2 linked regions of the Ovis aries genome follow. The protein of the gene in region 1 binds, or shares a complex with, the protein of each later gene. Links are inferred from orthologs where the notes say so. Each region holds a gene or a part of one and is shown on either strand. Other genes may lie near its edges. The genes, in order: PLXNA2 and SEMA6A.

Region 1 (10,305 bases):
CTTCTCTTTCTCATCCCTATGCTGTAGGCACAAGTGTCCCAGTAAAGAATCAGAAAATCTAGATTGTAGCCCTGCCTCTACCCCTAGCCAGACGTGTGATTTGGATCTGCCACACACCCTCTCTGAGTCTAAACGTTCTCCACTGTAAAGGAAAAGCACTGGAGCAGGCAACTGTCAAGCTGCCTTTCGGCTCTGAAAGTTCTTGATTTCACGGCCTTGCTTTCTTTCCCAGTCTCTTCAGGGACCAGTAAGGCTGCCGAGCCTGGGCTCAGGCATAACCCAAGCCAGCTTCTGAGAAATGATGACAGAGCCGAACACTTGTTGGTGATTTTGAATTTTTCTATATCCCTCCTGCGTCTAGAATCCCCAGATTGGGAGGGAAATGGCTTGTTCTGAGCCTAAGCTGCCAGGATTGGCCAGCATTTCTTTCTCTCTTCTCTAAGTTGTCAGATATTCTCAGACACCTGCTGCCGTTTACTTTTGTCCAGAAAGGGAGAGCCTGAAGCATGGCTTTCCTTAGGAACATCATGGCTAAAGGCAAAGAGCTTGGATTCAGAAGTCCTATGGGCCAAACCACATCCAAGCCCCTGCTGTGCCATTCTGTTGCATTGATGTTAGCAATTGAGTTTCGGGGATCTTTATTCTTCCATCTGTCAAACATCCTTGCTTTATAGGGTCATATTAAGGATAAGTGAGATAACCCTTAAGTTGGCCAGCACAGCCTTTAGGACAGAGCTGCTATTCAGTGAGTGAGGGTCCCCTTCCTTATTTCTTTTCTGGGAACAGAGCTCAAAATCTTTTATCTGAGAGTTTCCTGTGAGTCCAGAGAGCATGTTAAAATTAAGCCCTGGGACCTCTGCTTCTCTCACTCACCCTTAACCCCCTTTGAGGCCACTGGAATGCCTCTGGGTGCCCAGGTCTGGGACTCTAAGGATGGTAAGGGGACCTTCCTGTTGCCCCCCACCCACCCCAGCTATCCAGGCAGCCCCAGCAGAGTCTGATGCTCAGGGTGGGCATGGTTAGTGTGCGGCTCTTCCTTCCGAGCCCTAGCCCACCTGCTGTCCCCCGCCTTTGTGGCCCTTTGCTTACTAGCCCGGGCTTGTCTCTGCAGACAGGGGAGTCCCGCGAGGGTGTGGGCTCTTCCTCCTTCCTCTGGCTCAGAAGCAGGCAGGAATCAGCAGTTTCCTCCTGACAAGGCCCCCTCTGGGCAGTGGGAACTGGGACAGACTCTGCAAGCCGTTAACCCTTTCATTCCCTTTCCTCTTCTCTCTCTTTTTTTTTTAAGTGCTTGAGGGAATTTTATTTATTCATTTAACAAAACTGTGGTGGGCAGCCTGCTGTGCTGACTGAAGGCCATTCTTTTTTTTTCGGTTGTCAATCTGTATTTTTGTTTTATTATCTTTCAAATTTATTTTTAATTGGAGGATAATTGCTTTCAATACTGGGTTGATGTCTGCTGTACAACAACGTGAATCAGCCACAAGTATACATATATACCTGCCCTCAGGAGCATCTCTCCCCACATCCAAGTCATCGCAGGGCACTGGGCTGAGCTCCCTGGGTTATACAGCACCTTCTCACTAGCTGTCTATTTTATACATGGCAATGTATATATCTCAATGTTACTTTCTCAATTCACTGGGGCCATAGGTTATAGAGTTTCAGGGCTGTAAAGAACTTTGGAAACTATCTAGCTCAACCTCCTCATTGTATAAAGGTAAAATAACAAGAAATGAATGGTTCTTTAATTAATATATATCTGTCATTTATTAGATGCTATGTGCCAAGTATTGTACTAATACATACTTTTTCTATGTAATCCTCATAAAAACAGACTTGCTATTTCTATTGTTAAAATAAAAATACAACTCAGATCAGGTACGTAACTTGCCCAAAGTCACACGAGCGGTAGGACTGACCTTTAAACACAAATCTGTTGGAACTCCAGGCCTATGGCCTTAACTACTGTTCTACTGGACCAAGAAACTGACAGCAGAACAGAAGCATCGTCTACGTGTGATTTTTTTTTTTCTTGCTTTAAGAAGTGGCTTTTGGTCCCAGTAGCAGACACTCCCTCTTTAGGGGTTTCAAAAGGCAGCCATACGGGTCACTTGGTGTCACATTGATCCCCAGGCTGCAGATCGTGTGTCCACAGGACTTTGCACAGAAATCCATCTTAGAATTTGTCACACTGCATAACAGTTAACTAATCATGGCCAACCTAACACGCCACATCTGATCATCCCGTGAAGTAGGCATTATGAGTCCCACCTCACAGATGATCATGTAGACACACTAAGCTACTTCTGAAGCCAGGAAGTAGCACAGATGGAATCTAAACTCTGAATGCCAAACTCTTCAGCATTACATGACGCTGCTTGCTATTTTTATCTCTCACTCTCTTGCCCATTGGATTATGATACCTTGGAGAGTAACGATCATGTCTTTTTTATGTCTGCATTCCCAGTGCCTAGTACGGTGCTGGGCACTCGAGAGATCTTTGATACCCTCTGGCTGAATGGATGGATGGAGGGAGGGATAAAGGGAAGAATGGAGGGGTGGATAGATGGATGACATGACGGATGGATGGACAGACTGATGGATCGTGGTGACCACCGAGATGGCGGCCTTCTGATCCTCTCACAGGACAGGGCTCGCCACCGACCTCCTCGTCTCTTCCACCGTCAGGTCTGGACTCTGAACTCCCCTTCCTCCCCTCCTTTCCCTCTGCGGGGACGCCTGGTTCTTCTTCCCTAGCTTTCAACCTATCAGTCACGCTTGACCCCCTTTGCCCTCCTCCAGCTCCTCCAGCCTCCATACCTGCCTGCCTCCTTTACCCCTCACTGTGGCCGGCAGGGCCCTGCGTGGGCAAGACGTGGTCCCTGTTACCCCTGACCGGCCTCCTCTCCAGCCACAATTTCTGCCGCATGCCGAGGTCCAGCTGCAGTGGCCGCCTCGCTCTTCCTCACGACCGGCATTCTCTGCACTGCTGTTCCCGCCCACTCTCTCGAACGCTCTCCCCAGATACCCACACAGCTGGCTCTTCCTCATTCTTTGCTCAGATGCTGCTTTCTCAATGAAACAATCCTCTTGGGTCCTGCCTCTCCCCCATTCCCTGCTTTATTTTCTCTCTACAGCAACTGTCATCACTGGAGAGACTACCCGTTTTATGTATTTCTATGTCTTGCCTCACTAACGAAGTGAGTAAGGGGCTTTCTCTAGTGGCTCAGACGTTACAGAATCTGCCTGCAGCACGGGAGACCCAGGTTCGATCCCTGGGTTGGGAAGATCCCCTGGAGGAGGGCATGGCAACCCACTTCAGTATTCTTGCTTCCAGAATCCCCACGGACAGAGGAGCCTGGCGGGCTGCAGTCCATGGTTCGCAAAGAGTCGGACACGACTGAGCAAAAGTCGTGGACACACACCCAAAAGCTCCATGAGGGCAGGTCGTGATGTGGTAGGGTTCAAGGCTGAAGCCGGCAGCGCTTAGGACACTGGATGGGATATATGCGGAATGACTCCGCAGGATCAACAAACGTAGCTCAAGCGCATGAGCCTGCCACCTCCCTCACTGCAGGCTGCGACGGTCTGGGTTGTCCAGTAGCAAAGTCATGTCTGACTCTTTGCAACCCCACGGACGGTAGCCCTGCCAGGCTCCTCTGTCCGTGGGGTTTTGCCGGCGAGAATACTGGAGCCGGCTGCCATTTCCTCCTGCAGGGGGTCTGGGGGCAGGCGTGTCCTGAGCGGGGTGTGTGCCGGGGGCGCCCTCCTTACCGCCTTGGTGCACTGCACGTCCTTCCCCAGCAGCCAGTTGAGCTCCAGGTTGCCCTCGCCCTGGTAGCAGGACTGCAGGCGCTCCTTGATCTGCAGGTTGACTGCGCGGATGGGGAAGGCGCAGAGGGCGGAGTCATCCGGCGGCTGGTGGTACTGCTTCTGCCCTTTGGAGAAGATGGCGAAGAGCACGTCGTCCTGGCCGCTGATGTTGAAGGCCCGCGCCAGCGCGTCCCCGGGCTTGGCGAGGTAGGCGGCCTGCAGGAGGCGGTATTCCACCCCGGCCCGCGTGCAGCCGAAAGGCAGGGACACGTAGGAGTGGAACTTGGGGTCGTCCTTGCAGAGCCGCACGATGCGCGAGGTGTAGAAGAGGTCCCCGGCCGAGTTGATGGCCACGCCCTCGGGGGTCTCGGGCTGGACCGTCAGGAAGTAGACGAAGCCCCCGCTGGCGAAGCCGTAGATGTAGAAGATGTCGAAGTGGGCCACCAGGGCCAGGGTGTCGGAGGGGATCTTGATGAGCGAGGAGACGAAGTCGCTGTGCAGCTCGTAGTCGAGCATGGCGGAGGACTCGGGGTCGCGCGGCAGCTTGCGGCTGGACAGCGTGGGGAAGTAGTCCTGCTTGCCGTCCACGGCCGTGCCGATGAAGAGCTTGCCGTCCTCGCCCTCGGAGCGCACGATCACCCCGTACATCGTGCCCGTCTTGTTGACGCTGGACAGGTAGTGCTCCTTCTTGTGGGACGGCTCCACCAGGATGAAGAGGTCGTCGAGCCGCAGCAGCTTGCACACGCCCTGGTACAGGCTGCCGCAGGCCAGCAGCCGGTTCTCCGAGTAGTCGATGATGAGCAGCTTGTTGACGTTGTTGGTCAGCGTGAGCACCTCGCCGCAGGGCTGCACGATCAGCGGCGGGTAGCAGGACTTGTTGTCCTCCTCCGGGCCCGTCTTGTGAGCCACCTGGATGGTCAGGTTGCCCGTCAGCTTGTACACGCGGTTGATGGCGCCCACGTACACCGCCCCGGTCCCGCGGTGCACCGTGAGGTGGTTGAAGGTCCAGTCGCGGTTTTCCGAGTGGAAGGTGCTGAACTGGGGCGCGCTGGCCGCCCGCGGCGCCAGCAGCACGCAGACGGCCGAGAGCAGGACCACAGGCCAGCCGTCCCCGTCTGCCGCCCGCGGCCCGGGCCTCCTCTGTTCCATCCTGAGCCGGCCGAGGGCCAGGACACAGGGCCTCCGATCTCTTGCGAACTCCGCCTCCCCGGCCTGGCCCTCACATGGTTCTGCAAAACACAAGAGGCAGAGCGGTCAGACAGAAAACAAATCCCTGGAGAACCGGCTTGCTTGACCCAGGTCCCAGCGCCTGCTAGCTCTGTGAGCCTCTTCCTTCTGTATTTGGGTTTTTCTATTTTTAACATACATTCTCCCTCTTCGGGATGTTCAGGGAATCCTATTATCTATTTTGGTCTCCAGCTTTGACACTGTAAAATGCTTTTTTTTTTTTTTAAAACTTTACAAAGCATCTCTATTTCTGTCCTCTTCAGAGATCGTTTTTACCGCTCAGAGAGGTTAACAGACCGAGTCCCCGCAGCCAGTGGATCCCAGTGTGGGGACTAAGGCCAGTCTTCCCACCCAGTTGCCAGGTTCCTCCTGCTCGCTCCCAGTCCAGTGGAAAACGCTCCAGCCTGTGAAACACCAGTGGTTAGGGAGGCCCTCTCCCAGGCTCTCCCTTCCGAATCTGGTGTCCCAAATAACATTCCTTCTTATTTCAGCCGTCCACCCCCTCGCACTGCTGGTTTCCTCTTTCATGCTCCGTCCCCCACAGGGAAGGAAGGAGGGGAGCTGGTCATCTAACATTGCCTCTCACTGCCCTTCAGCCTGGTGCTCTCTAGAGAGAATCCTGCAGTGTTAGCACGGAACACTTGTTCTGAGAGTGAGCTAGGCCCGGGGCCCACGTGGGTGCTATTCAGGAGCCTAAAGAGTCCCCGGGGAAAGGGCAGACAACCACCCACCCTTCCTCTTTGGGTCGGGAGGATGTCAGCCACTGCCTCCCCGGTAAGCAGGGACCCTGTGGCCTCCTTTGCAGGTGGAGTCCAGCGTGGAGCCGGCCACCTTACTCGTGGGGACTGGCTGGCTGAGTCCAGCCTCAGCCGCCTGGGCGAGAGTTCTGGGTTTGGGAGGCATGGGGAGGAGCCAAGGGAAGTGAGTTGAAGGTCAGTCGCACGGCAGCCACTGCTAGGGCCCCGTGATGGTTTAAGGCTCCGCACGGTCAACCTCAGGCTGCCCGCCCCCGCCGGTCAGTCCCCTGCCCTGACGTCCCTGCTCCCTCCCTTCCCTCCCGAGCCCCAGGTTCTGCAGCTTTTCCTACTATTCCAGGAAAGCTTGCCCAGAGGGGCAAGGGGGGGCTCCTGCAGACCTTCAGAGAGTGGTGGGCAGGGGACAGACGGTGGAGCCTTCTCATCACTCTGCCTGCTCCTGACTTTTATGGGGGAGGTGGGGACAGTGGTGGCTCTAGCGGAGAAATCTTTTCTCCCGGCTGGACAGACTGGCCGGCAACCTTCTTGGACAAGTCCAGACAGAAGTCCGGGTAATGAGGCAGCGTGGAAAGGCTCACGCCCAGGATGGAGCACGTGCTCCAAGGCGGCCTGCTGCTGCTGCTGAGGCGCTTCAGTCGTGTCCAACTCTGCGCGACCCCACAGACAGCAGCCCACCAGGCTCCACCGTCCCTGGGATTCTCCAGGCAAGAACACTGGAGTGGGTTGCCATTTCCTTCTCCAATGCATGAAAGTGAAAAGTGAAAGTGAAGTCGCTCAGTCGTGCCCAACTCCTAGCGACCCCATGGACTGCAGTCCACCAGGCTCCTCCGTCCATGGGATTTTCCAGGCAAGAGTACTGGAGTAGGGTGCCATTGCCTTCTCTGTACCAAGGCAGCCTAGGAGAGTCCAGTTCAGTTCAGGTCAGCCGCTCAGTCGTGTCCGACTCTTTGTGACCCCATGAACTGCAGCACACCAGGCCTCCCTGTCCATCATCAACTCCCTGAGTTTACTCAAACTCATGTCCATTGAGTTGGTGATGCCATCCAACCATCTCATCCTCTGTCGTCCCCTTCTTCTCCCACCTTCAATCTTTCCCAGCATCAGGGTCCTGGATCCCTTTATTTATCCCCCACCTGGCTACATGGGGCTGGAATCTGGGATCGAATAGATGCCCTCTGCGGGATCCACGTGCTCTCTGCTCCATGTCTTTCAAAACTCCCCCTGTCCTCTGCAACTGTGCCTCCCATGCCTGACGCCCACATGGTGCCAGAGGCGGGCCCCACCTGACCGCTCGCCTCCAAGGAGGCTCCACCGGGATGCTGTTCTGGAGTGACTCATCAGGCCCCGGGCTTCCTTGGAAAGAGGAAGGCACAGCGGCATGAGGCCTGGGCTGACCTCAGGGGCTCTGACACAGCCCTTCCGGCCCCACGCGCTCACCGGCAAAGCCTCCCCGACGGACAGAGCTTTCGGTTTGAAAATCGGAGGTTATTTTTAGCTATGTCCTGGGGCCGGTAGCCGGACGTGAATTCCTCAAGAGAAGCTGCGGAAAGGAAATAACAGAATCCTCACATTCTCCATCTGGGTAGGGAGCTGCAGGAAGCTGGGCTGTGCATGCCCCTTCTCTGGGCAGGAGAGCTCGTTTGCCTACAGGTGGAGGGCAGTGTGTCCCCCTCCGCCTCCCGCCAGAGGATTATAGTTGCCATCATGATGCACTTGGGGTTTGGCCTTCTGGGCAGGGATTTCTGAGACACTCTGGCATTGAGTGTGCAGGCAGAGAACTCCTGCCTGCCCCACAACTTACATGCACAGACATGCTTAGCCCATGGAGGGGGGAGACGGTCCCAGGAGCAGAGGTGACGCCAGAGGACACCAAGTGAGGTTAAGATGAACTGTCTCACTGCCCTGCCAGGCATCCTCCAGAGACATGGTTTGAAGTGTGAATGGCTTCTGTTGTCAGGCAGAATTCAGGAAGAAATGTGGGACCTTGGGCAAGTCCAGTCTCATCCTCCTTTCTGGTAGGATGGGATAATGACGGTACCGACCCCTCGGGTTGTCATCAGAGTAAATGAGATAATGCGGGGAAGCCTCTTAGCATGGGAGCTGGCACTCAGTGAATGCTTAACTCATACCAGTTATTATTATCATTGAAGCCTCCCCAAGAGGCTGTGCTTTAGGAATGTTGCCAGACCTCCTGACTTCTCTTTTCACTCATATTCTTCCTTTCCATGGGAATGAACGCTGCGGGCAGCCCATTGAGCCCCAGCCCTCCCTGGAGTGGTGAAGGCGTGCATCAGAGAAAAGGGAACAGATTGAAGGTGATCGTCTCCGGCACACTACTGCACAAGTCCCAGCACGGCTCTCTGCAGCCTGCAGGGAGCCTGGTGGAGGTACAGGATCCCAAGAGTTGAAGTGTGAGTGGGAAAACTGGCCTGGTGTCCAGAAGGCAAGGAGTCCTAGGGAAGGGGGCAGAGTGGGGAACTCAGAGAGACCTGTGTCCAAATCCTGCCTCTGTCAACATGAGTTGTGTGGCTTTAGGCTGCTCCAGTGTCACCCCGAGCCTACTTCTTAACCAATAAAGGATGTTATTTGATCTTAAAGAATGCTATTAAAACAAAGGATGTCATAACCAGTTGGTAAGATTTCGTCCTTCAGACAAAATGGTATCTTGAGACTTGCTTCTTTCAGCTTCTAGAGTCAATAACTGCAATAACAGCTGAGGTCCTTCTGTCCTGCCTGGCAGGGCTGGTTAAATCTAGAGGTCTCAACAGACCAGTAATTGTACTGTTTTCCCCTTCCTTCTCAATCAGCGTCTACTCTGGGACAGACTACTCCCGGGGACCAGCCACACAGATTCCTTCCACGGGACTCAAGGGTAGTCCACGTAGGAGCCACAGGCACTGGGGCCTCAGGGTCAAGAGGAGACGGGGTCCCCTGCAGTGCAGGGGTGGAGGGACACTTGCATCTCACCTTGGAATTCACAAGGACAAACTGGCTTCAAGAGTGAGTCGAGAGCCCCAGTCTTTCAATGCCAAGGCTGACATTACCAGGTAGCTCTTCCAAAGAAGGGTCTGGTTGGCAAGGTCTGGTCTGGTTGGTCCTGTCTGAGTTCAGGGTAAGGGAGAAGGGTACCCACCTCTATGCCTCGATGAAATGCCACGTAGTGTGATGGAGAGACTCATAAGCTCTGGATTTAGGTGCTTGGATTCAAACAGAGGTGATAGCTGTGTAAACTTGGTCAAGGTACACAGCTGTTCTCTGATGCTGTCTCACTAGATGTAATGAGGTTGGCACTAGCTTCTGCCTCATAGGGTTATGATGGTGAAGTCATTTAATTCACATAAAGAACTTAGAACAACGCTTGGCCCATTATAAATGTTCAAGACACCTTAGCCTTATCAGTAGTAATCTATCTCTCAATATCCCCAGCCTTTCATCTCTGTCCATCCCATGGTCTGTCTTAGAATAAAACATCCATCCTTGTATTTGGTAGGAGCCAGTGAACATACGCATGTGGCTTTGTAGAGCTAGGATTTCCTCCTCACCCCAAGTGTCACCCGCGGGGATTTTCTCCACGATGCCTCCTTCCTGCCCCTCTTCCTCTCTCTGTCTAGTTTGTGAAGTCGCCGTGCCACGTGCGTTCTCAAGAGCCACACCTGCTGAGTGGCCGTTCTCCTACCAGCTTCCCTGTCCCCCGTCCCAAGTCTCAAATGAGGACACGCCGCCCTGGGATGCCGGCTCGACCCGCAGAGCGCTCGGAGCACTGATGCCAAGGGGAGGCCACACTCGCCTCTTTGGGAAGCAAGAGTCACTAAATATTTCATTTCGAGGGCCTGGTGAAACCATCTCCCTGATGAGGCCTCAGGAAGCAGGTGTTGGTGTCAGCTAGAGGAGGCACCTAATACCTTCCCGATCAGATGCTGCAGACACCAGGGGCAAAGCAGGGGCGAGACGACAAGCATTTCCAGCTCAGCTCAGCGAAGGATTCCCTCCTCCCCACAACCCGTTCTGTTGCCTTTTTCGGGATATCTGGGAGCACAAACCTCTATGCTTTATTGGCCTCCCTTATTGCAAAAGGAAAGAAGAGGAGGCAGGAAGAGGAGTTAGCACTGGAATACAATTTTGCTAAACTGAGTGAAAGTTCTTGATGCCAGAGCTCCCACCCGTGGGCCCATCTGCAGCTCCTCCTGGCACCGTCATCACCAACATCATCCAGGCTATATTTCTCATCACAATAACAGTAAAGGTGTCTATTATTATAACTGCACCAACTAGGTGGCTCACACAGCCAGGATCCTGAGAAGCCAGAATCCAGACAGTAAGTATGAGGAGGGGGGCTGGGCGCTATTTACAACAGGCAAGATCTGGAAGCAACTACAGTGTCCATCCACAGAGGAATGGATAAAGAAGATACGGTGCACATATACAACGGAGTATTACTCAGTCATAAAAAAACTGAAAGATTGCCATTCGCGGCAACGTGGGTGGACCTAGAGAATATCATACCAAGTGA
Region 2 (10,305 bases), on another chromosome or scaffold:
GCAAGGGAGGATGGGAAATGTAGTTTAGTGTGATATGGAGGAAAGGGAAATGAATTTGTTGAACAGCTAGTAAGGCTTTGCCTCACCTGCAAATGCCTGTGAGCCAGGCGGGTAACTTGTAAGAGTGAAGCAAGCAGCATGTCAATACAATCTATGGGTCAAGGGGTCTTGGTGCTAGAGACTATATAAGCAAGCAGCATGTCAATACAATCTATGGGTCAAGGGGTCTTGGTGCTAGAGACTATATGCCGATCTGAAGAAAATGGCAGGGGTGGCCATTACTCAACTATAGCTTGCTGCCCCTTGGCTAAGAAGGGCCGGAATTGACTTACCCACATGTTCAAAAGATGCAAGAAATCCAAGTTTTCATATGCAGTCTGCCTTTTTAAGAGAGAGTTAGTTTTCCTTTTTCTTTTTCTAAACATACTCAGATGACCAAAGAGGCAGGCTAGTAATAACCTCTAGGGTACAGGAACAAGCCTGGGTTGGGCAGGAGGAGATGGGAGTCAAGTTGCAACCACACTGCTCATATCTGGGGCCCATGGGAGCCTCTCAGCTTCTGGGCCACTCTTTCTCATCTACATAATCTGAAGATCAGACATGTTTCTGAAGTAGGTGCAAAGGCCACCTGAGCTCTGCTTGCATCTGTGTTTTCGTTCATGCTTGCTGATGCCATACTATTCTCGCAGGTAACCTGAGAAAGAATTCCAGGGTCTTCTCCTAGAATTTAACCCACAAAGGCAAGACTCCTCTGGCAAAACAAAACAAAAACTGGGGTCATTCTCTGTAGAGTTCATGACTTAGCAGATAATTCTAGGGGATGGGGGAATATGTTTTCCTGGTGAATACCTCAGAAATCCCTTTTCCAAGGAGAAAGATGCTTATTTCTCTAGCATTCCAGGAGGATATGGGAATCTCTTTATTGTCATGGTTCTGAGTCAAGCAGACATGACTGATTCTTCTGACTCTCCTAGCTACAGAATCTTGGTCAAGTGACTTAATCTCTCTCAACGTCAGCGTCCCCATCTGAAACCAAAAGACTTAACCTTAGAGGGTATTTGACTATTATTTGCACCAGGCATATAAATTGCTCAAAAAGTTAAGTGCTCTGTAAATATTAGTTGCTGTTATTATCTGTCGGTTGCTGTGCCTAACTTAGTCCTATCATTTCATTTAGATGGATACTTTGGAACCTGTGGGTGATGAATTTAGCGGAATGGCCAGATGCCCTTACGATGCCAAACATGCCAATACTGCACTGTTCGCAGGTAAATGACCTGATTTCCTGATTTCTCCTCATTGCCTTTGTTTTCGTGGGCTCAGCCTGTGGCCCTGCAGGATTTGCAGAGTCACAGTTGTACTTTGATTCTCTGGTGACTACTGTAACTAGGAATGCCTTTTCCATTGGAAATCATATGGAAATTGTACTTTTGTTTTTTTGTTGTTGTTCGGTCACTCAGTTGTGTCCGACTCTTTGCGAACCTATGGACTGCAACACACCAGGCTTCCCTGTCCTTCACTATCTCCTGGAGTTTGCGCAAACTCATGTCCATTGAGTCAGTGATGCCATCCAACCATCTCATCCTCTGTCATCCCCTTTTTCCTCCTGCCTTCAATCTTTCCCAGCATCGGGGTCATTTCCAATGAGTTGGCTCTTCACATCAAGTGGGAAAGTATTAGAGCTTCAGCTTGAGCATCAGTCCTTCCAATGAATATTCAGGGTAGATTCCTTTAGGATTGACTGGTTTGATCTCCTTGCTTTTTTTTTTCTCCTCTCCTCGCTTCTTAAGACAAGTCTTTGCCATGCTTACCCATGCTTCTCTGCCTTCAGAAAGAGTAACAACTTTGCACTGAACATGCTGCATACTGGTTAGGGCGCGTCTGGGCTGAAGTAACAGAAAATCCCACCTCTAACCCCCAGTGTGAACTGAGTATTTAAGGTGGGGTAGACTTTGAGGTGCTTTGATTCAACAACTCATTCATCTCATCCAGGACGTAGGTCCTTTTCATTTCTCTGCTCAGTTTTCTTTCTTTCTCTGAGGGAGACTGGCCGTTCTCACAGTCATAGGATGGCTGTTGGGTCTCAATTAGGGCTACATGTCCTTTGGTCTGGGCTTCTCAGGTGGAACTAGTGGTAAAGAACTCACATGCCGTGGGTTTGATCCCTGGGTTTTGAAGGTTCCCCTGGAGGAGGGCATGGCAACTGACTCCAGTATTCCAGCCTGGAGAATCTGCTGGACAGAGGAGCCTGGCAGGCTACAGTCCATAAGGTTGCATAGAGTCGGACGTGACTGAAGCAACTTAGCACATACACACATCCCCTTGTCTACATGTAGAAGGGAGAAGGAAAGAGACGAAAGGAAGCTTCTGTAAGCTTTCTCGGTTACCAGCACATCTTCTCAAATATCATGACCTCATGAGCTTACCTGCCTGTCTCTGATAGAACTATAGTGCCCGAAGGGATGCTGCTGATGATCAAAGGTTGACCAACACTCCCCATTGCTGCTCCTTCCTTCCATTGCAAAGGATATAGAATGAAAGCAAATAAGCCATGACTTTCAGATGGGGGTTTTTGTGTATGTGTGTGGGTGTTTTATTGATAATTAGAAATTTATTTAGGAATTCATTGCCAGCTGTGCTCACTGAGGTGGGTGTAGGGAGAAGTATTGGTATAGGAGCTCCTCCAAAGGTAGAGCATTCCTAGCAAGCAGCCTTGTAAGTCAGGTAAACCTATTTGTAAGCATGGGTAGGGACAAGGCCACTGGAAAGAGTGCTTGAGGATTATATTCTTAAGTGCCTAACTTCTACTGCAGCACTTTTCTGACACGTGGAACCTGCATTAGGAATAGAGCAATGGAGGTTGTGGACTGCAGTGGAGAATGTAAATTTAATAAGGAAAAAGAGGCAGCCCAAGGTAGAAAGAGGAGAATGAGCAGAGTGCTTTCCGAGGCCACCAACCTTCCAAGAGCAAGCCCCATGAAACCATCTTGTGGCTGCCGCTCCTCCTCCCCAGAAGGTGTATCTGAATCCATGTCCACTGAAATGCTTGAAAGCTCTTAAAACTTCCACCATTATAAACAGAGGATACTTGTTGCCCCTGAATAGTTGTCGTATTACCAAAAGTGACAAAATAGTACTCTATTTTACGAGTAAAAGTTCTGGCAAGATATCCAGTTTAAAATGTAAGACAAAGAGTATGGAGGTGTGTTCAACAGCAGTAACACACACACACTCACACACACACACAGCTCACACACACACACACACACACCCCACTGTCCTCTCCTCCTCAGGTATATCCATATGATCCAGAACTATGATTCTGTAAGAAAAATTGTGATTTTTGCAAACTCATGTGTATCAATAGAAAGGTTTGCCATCTGCAGCCAAAATCTAACCCAGAAGGTCAACACGTACAGATACATGACTGTTAGTAATGTAGATATGAAGACAGCTCTACCTGAAACAGCAGATACCAGTTAAGACCAAAGAAAGTGAAAGTGAAAGAAAGTGAAGTCGCTCAGTGGTGTCTGACTCTTTGCGGTCCCATGGACTGTAGTCTACCAGGCTTCTCTGTCCATGGGATTTTCCAGGCAAGAGTACTGGAGTGGGGTGCCATTTTCTTCTCCAGGGGATCTTCCTGACCCAGGGATTGAACCCAGGTCTCTGGCATTGCAGGCAGACACTTTACCCTCTGAGCCACCAGGGACCAAAAGTAGACCTCAAAGACTTTGCTTTGGTATGTTTATTTAAAACAGAACCATATGCTTATCCCACGAGGGCTAGAGCTTAAAGAGAACTGTGATGTATATAAACCACTTCTGAAGATGCTCTGGGAACCACAATTAATGAAGACAGGTAACCCATTAAAGCTGAGACAAGGAAGCTATTTTTTATATTGAATATAATTATTGTTTCCATTTCATCTACACAGATTTTACTATTCCAGAACAGCCCATTTGATTATCTGTGTAAAGAATGCTTGCTAATCCAAGAAAAGAACCACAGATTTTAAGGATTCATCTTTAATCATCTTGTCTCTCTTTTGCCTTGGATGTATCCTCAAGCAGAAGTCTCAAAGAGCATGAATTCTTAAAGAAAAGTCCAGTTTGAACTCAGCATCATCCCTTCCCCCTCTTTATTTTGGCTTTTTGTATATCAGAATGTTCTCAGTTTGAGACTTTGGAAATACTGAAACAAGTATCTCTTAAATGGAAAGCTAGATCAGTAGAACTTAGTGGCTCTCCTGATTGAGGTAAAGAGGAGCAGAGACTCAAAAAGGATACATATACCAATCTTCTTTTTTTTCTTTTTTTTTAATCGGAGTATGATTACATGTAGCAATTTTAGTCAGTTCTTTTTTGCTTACAAATCCTCTTTCTTCAACGTCCCTCACTTGCTTAGGCTGCGGACTTTCTTACTTCTGCTTGTACTTAAATTTTTCTGGTGATACAATCAGCCTCTATCTTTCCCGGGGCTCCTACCTAATCCAGTTTACCATGGTATGGTGGTGGCTGGAGTGTCCAAGCGGCCTTGGCCTTGAGATTTCAGTCAAGGTCCATCTAATGGAGTGAAGCAAACAACATTTTTCATTTACCCTGTTCCCTGAGCTGCTGCTGCTTAGAAATTGCCGTGCAATTTAAAAATGAAAAATGTTTCATCTCTTGTGATCCCAATTTAAAATGGTTAGGAATGTGGGTCAAGTATTTTCCTACAACTCTTGGATTTGTCCCAGTTGTCCTATCGTATTTGCCTGATTTAGGAAAGCCAGGTGGGGATGTCTCTGTTATTCCCCCATGCCCACCATCTTGCTCCAACCCTATTCTCCTCTCCTCTTTCTCTTCAAAGATGGAAAACTGTACTCTGCTACAGTCACAGACTTCCTTGCCATTGATGCAGTCATCTACCGGAGTCTTGGAGACAGCCCAACCCTACGGACCGTCAAGCATGATTCAAAATGGTTAAAAGGTGAACAAACAATTAAAAAAAGAAAGGAGGTGTGGTGGGGGAGATATATATCTTGAAGGAGATTTAGCGTCTGAATGGTCCAGATTGTAGTTTCACTTTAGTAATGGCTTCTCACGGACAGGAAGGTGGAAATTGCATCTCTTGCCCCGAGTTGATTTATTACCTCCCCTTTTCACGTCCCATGAGTTTCTGGAGTATTATCAAAACTACCAACACCACTATAATAGAATACATCACATTCATCTTTCCTGCTTCAGGCTCTCATTTCAAAGTCCCACACGAAACCAACTAAACAAAACACTTCATTCATAGAAGGGAACGGGGAATTCGAGGTGGTGGGGGACAGGAAAAAAGCAGTTCACAACCCGAATGAGTCAAGGTTGACAAGGCAATGTGTACAAAATCTATTCTGTAATATGAGCCTTGTATTATAGAAAATAAAATTACAGAGATACGCAAAACTCATTTATTCTTCATTGTTCATTGCAACTGCTTCTGAAAGATTAAATCTGTAGGCTTAAATGCTTTTGGAAATCATTAAGCACGTGCATGTGTAAAGTCACTAGAAACGGTTAGTGTTAACCAAATGTCTAATGGCCCTACAATTTTATTTCATAATATGTCTTTGGTTGCAACTGACTGCAGTTCTTTTAACTCTGTGTGACACGCCCCCAATTAAAGTGCCCATTTGTCCACAGAACCGTATTTTGTCCAAGCGGTAGATTATGGAGACTACATCTACTTCTTCTTCAGGGAAATAGCGGTGGAGTACAACAGCATGGGAAAGGTAAGAGGGGAGGATGTCTTAATGTGCGGCCAATGTGGTTATGAATGGCTTTGAAATAAAACCATAAATCTAAGGACAAGGTTATCATTTTGAGAAGACCCAGCAAAGACTGGTGGAAGTGAAACATTTTGCTTCCTTGAACCCCTATATGCTTTTTCTGATTAGTAACAGAATACAGGGAAACCTCTTAAATACATTGAAAACTTAATGAACAGATGAGTTTCAAGTATCTTAAGAAAGATGTGGTTTCCAGGTCTCAGGTCTACTCATCAAGTTTTTTTTTTTGTTTGTTTTGATTTGTTTTAAACTAAGCTGCTCTACAGAGAGAAAGTAACTATTCAATACCTATAAGCAAACCCAGGGTCTTGACTGTATTCATTGCAAAAAGCAATAGAAGACTTAGGGGATGTCTATTTTGATTGTTTTTACCAGAGAGTGGATCAAGACCACTGAGTTGGAGGGCACAAATTCAATACCAGGGTGGCTTGCACAGTTAGAGGAATTCAGAGCATGAGAGGCAGAGCCCAGAGGCAGCCAGGGAGGATGGCAGAGATGGCGCATACAAAGTACGCTTTTGTTTGAGGAAATAAAAAGCTAAGCAGTCTGTATGGAAATGAGTGTATGTGCCTGGGAGCTGATCCCCTGAAGGATTTATAGTTCTGTATTAAATGCCACAGCCTTATCTTTCAAAACATGCTGTTCCAATGCTGAGATTTTCCCTTTTTTTTTTTTTGCCACTGATTTTAGAAACACAGGATTAAATGAAGCATCTTGTTGTTCTGTTTTTATTTTTCTAAGAAAGGTAAATTCTACCAAGATCTCCATGAAGAGTAAGTGCATTTCATCTTCTCCGTGTTTTCCCTCTGCAGGTAGTTTTCCCAAGGGTGGCTCAGGTTTGTAAGAACGACATGGGAGGGTCTCAGAGAGTGCTGGAGAAGCAGTGGACGTCTTTCCTGAAGGCTCGCCTCAATTGCTCCGTCCCCGGGGACTCCCATTTTTATTTCAACATCCTGCAGGCAGTTACCGACGTGATTCGTATTCACGGCCGTGATGTTGTCCTGGCAACCTTCTCCACACCTTATAACAGGTAACCATGCCCTGGCGGTGCGGACTTCATCGCTCCTTCCCGGCTTCCTTTTCCCAAGGGGTTCTTGTCTAATACACAAGATTTGCAACCGATGGAAACACTGCCATTCGCTATTTGTAACTAACAAGCACTTAACACTCAGTTTTCATCCACAAATGAACTGTCAGTATAAGTGCTGTTAGAGAATTTTGGAGAAAGTAATGAGATAAATTATTCCAATATCTTTTCAGATGTCTGGGATAGAAATACTATTCATGTGTTATTTCTCGATCCCTCTAGTTATCTTGAAAAGTGAATACCGTTGCCTTCTTTTTACACTTGAGGAAACCAAGTTCAATTATATTCTGATCCAGGTAGTCCACAGATAGAAGCAGCAGCTTTGGCATTCCAGAATGTTCCTCTTTTCTAGGTCACCTAACATTTTATTTGACTTTTAATATTTCTATGACTAGATCAGTAATTTTTGAAAAATACTGGATATGTATTAAAATGCTACAGGGTGAAATTTAGGAAGCAGATGAGTCCATCTTGCATCCCACCTGGCTATCATCCTGTCAGAGGAACCAGAATCCCAACCACAGCACCATTGTCTGAGTCTGGGGGCGTTTATTGAGGATTTAGGTTTCCCTGGTGGTTCAGTACTAAAGAATCCACTGCAATGCAAGAGATGCAGGTTTAACCCCTAGGCCTGGAAGATCCCTTGGAGAAAGAAATGGCAACCCACTCCAGTATTCTTGCCTGGGAAATCCCATGGACAGAGGAGCCTAGCGGCCTACAGTCCATGGGGTCACAAGAGTTGGACATGACTGAGCGACACCACCACCACCTCCACTGAGGATTTACAAGTCATCAAACATTGTCCTGAGAAATACTGAGTCTCAGCCCATTCATTCCTATTTTGTATTTATTTAAGCTAAGACACTGAGCTATTAAATGGCACACTAAAAACTGTCCCTGGAGCAGTGGACACGTGGAGACTAAAGAATAGAGGAAGAGGGACACTATGTTCCTGGCACTCGGCTCTGCCAGACCTCGGAGTCCTAGCACCGTCCTGTGCAAATGATCTCCACTCCGGCGGCGGCCAAGAAATTGAGTGCACGTACTAGACTGTGTACAATTCTGCCTGTTCTCTCTGATCTTCTGCTAGGAATCCACTGTCTTGTTTTGGATTATACTTTTTACAAAGACTTTGAAGAACCTGATGAAAGGCTAGATGACAGGAACCAACCTGATGAGACTGGAGGACAACAGCTAGGAAAAAATGCCTAAGAACTGGGTCAAGTCTAAACAGAGCAAGCTGAAAGATGAAATAACGTTCCTCAGTTATACAGAGGGCAAGAGTCAAGAGTGCCCCACTGAAGACGTAAGAAAACATAAACCTGTATTGCAGCAAGTATTTAGTTAGGTTTAAGTAAGTTGTGACCATCCGAAGGAATTTTGAGACTTGAGAATAGGAAAGATGTAAAAATTCAGGCCTTGACTGCTTGTACTTTGGAACCCATGTATCTAGCAGTGTTGAAAAAGAAGACTGTTCTGGAACATAGGAATGTAAGTGCCAATGGAATTTCAGAGCACATTTCTAAATTTTTTTAAATGTTTTTTGAGAAAATGAGTTTGTGATTACACCAAAGTAGGAGATTCCAAGAGTACTGGAGTGGGGTGCCATTGCCTTCTCCGAAATATTACACATACTCCATTTAAAGAATTTTCTTTAAAGGTCCCTAGGAGACATTCAATAAGTGCCTACTAATGCAGTCTCAGAAACTGTATTTGGTCAGTAAGATCAGAAAATGGCAAAAGTATGCAGGCCAGTCTTCATCTACAAATGACAGTCCCTCTCTGATCACTCCCTCTGGTTTCATCCCTTTCCACCCCATTCTCCACACATTCCCACTCCATCATGCCAGGCTGTCTCAAATCCTTTAGGGGCTCCTCTTGCCCTGAAGATAAAGCCCAGCTCCCTTGTTGGCATGGCATGGAAGCCCATCGTGGTCAGGTGTCAGCTCCTCCTCCAGTGCAGAGGGTTGACTGAACCGCTCATGCCCTGCTGTCTTGCCCAGTTTGCTCCCCCAACCTATCTGCTTGCCCACTGAGCCCCTGGGCATACTCCAAGGCTCAGTTCCAGTCACATCCCCTGGAACTCTGCACGTGCCTTTCATATATACTGCCTTTACCAGATGGTCTTGGAAAAGTTGTTGTTGTTATTATTATCACTGCTGTTGTTGCTTGCCGCCACACTGAATTATCAATCAGCTGAGAGCATGATTTGTTATTTACTAAGCATTCACGGCTTGAGATTGGGGATTCCATAAATATATGTTGAATGAACAGAAGATGGGAATAAAAGGAGGGGATAAAGTAGGGAAGAAAAAAGAAAGGATTTTACACATGATTCTAACATTAGGAAGATTACAAACCCTACGGTATCTTTAGCAATTATGAAGTCCCTCATAAAATACTTCAAAATTTATCCTATTTTTCTTAATATTTAAAGTAAATGTGTACACCTCTTACTTTTAGGAGAGCAAGATGTGAAAAGAGTCTTACAAAATTAAATAATGTTAGGGGCGCTGAAGTTTCAAAACAAATGGGATCACTGTCTTATTATAGACTTAATATTGTGAATAATACATACACACACACGCTACATACTTTAAAATTCATCCTGCCACTGTTTTAAATAAGCTTTCTAATCCTCCCCCATTTCTCACTTTCTTAGTAATAATTCAATAATTATTTTGTGAAATTAAAGATGGCATAAAATTCTCCTAATCATACATGGAGTGTTTTCCATATCCTTTTGACATGTGCAAAATCTGGGCCCAATCATTCTCTCTGCCCTGTATGACGCTGATGCTGCCAAGCACCTGTGTCTTGCCCTGGGTGCTTCTGTGAGCAGTGACCCGCTATCTCAAAGCCTGATTCAAACTGTTGGCCAGCCAGTGCCTGAAATTTATTTGATCAAAATCAAGGAACAACCATAGAAACAAACACAGGTTCGAGTAGCGTACCTAGATGAATGAATAATTCATGTCTTCTCACCATTGATGAAAAACAACCCCAAAGTCCTTCTAGGAGTGCCAGGCAAGAATGTAATTATAGGTAGAGATTACTGGTGGTATTATTATTTAGCACTTAATCGGGCATTTTATTTGCAAAGCGTTGGTGCTTTAGAGATTTAAACTGTTTAGTCTTATGCAAATAAACAGGGAGTAAAATTTGCAGTGTGCAGTGACTAACGTGAAACATGTTTGGGTTCCTGACACATTCATTCTCACTACTGACGTGCTTGACTTGAGGAGCCAAAGTCAGAGAAGGAATCTGTGGACAGCAGGGACACTCTGACTTCAAACTTTTACGAATATCGGAGATGCAGAGTGTTGTCCAAACATTTTATCTTTGGTTTAAAGTCTGGTAATTAATTTCAGGGAATTCATGAAACTTGAAAATCACCAGGTCAACC

Evidence for each region.
Region 2: the proteins of PLXNA2 (region 1) and SEMA6A are in contact, whole or in part, in a crystal structure (PDB 3AL8), measured with the Mus musculus proteins. The link is inferred for Ovis aries from reciprocal best matches to the Homo sapiens genes PLXNA2 and SEMA6A. Residues at the interface, in NP_032908.2 of Mus musculus: Ala93, Cys94, Tyr95, Pro96, Lys155, Gln192, Asp193, Tyr194, Asp220, Phe221, Val222, Pro229, Ser230, Asp231, Leu386, Lys389, Val391, Thr394, Lys395, Ala396, Pro397, Val398, Leu407, Asp408, Ile409, Asn410, Gln411; in NP_061214.2 of Mus musculus: Arg108, Met109, Lys110, Gly111, Met162, Ala163, Thr188, Phe190, Leu191, Ile193, Tyr198, Thr206, Arg208, His212, Asp213, Ser214, Glu219, Gln266, Arg267, Glu270, Lys271, Lys393.

The regions. Positions count from the first base shown.
Region 1 is NC_056065.1:74,572,367-74,582,671, reverse strand, and holds part of PLXNA2 (plexin-A2), read right to left. Parts: intron 5,043-10,305; 5' UTR 4,963-5,042; coding exon 3,775-4,962; intron 1-3,774. UniProt on the Homo sapiens protein: Coreceptor for SEMA3A and SEMA6A. Necessary for signaling by SEMA6A and class 3 semaphorins and subsequent remodeling of the cytoskeleton. Plays a role in axon guidance, invasive growth and cell migration.
Region 2 is NC_056058.1:35,110,885-35,121,189, forward strand, and holds part of SEMA6A (semaphorin-6A), read left to right. Parts: intron 1-1,177; coding exon 1,178-1,268; intron 1,269-4,848; coding exon 4,849-4,968; intron 4,969-5,666; coding exon 5,667-5,755; intron 5,756-6,624; coding exon 6,625-6,842; intron 6,843-10,305. UniProt on the Homo sapiens protein: Cell surface receptor for PLXNA2 that plays an important role in cell-cell signaling. Required for normal granule cell migration in the developing cerebellum.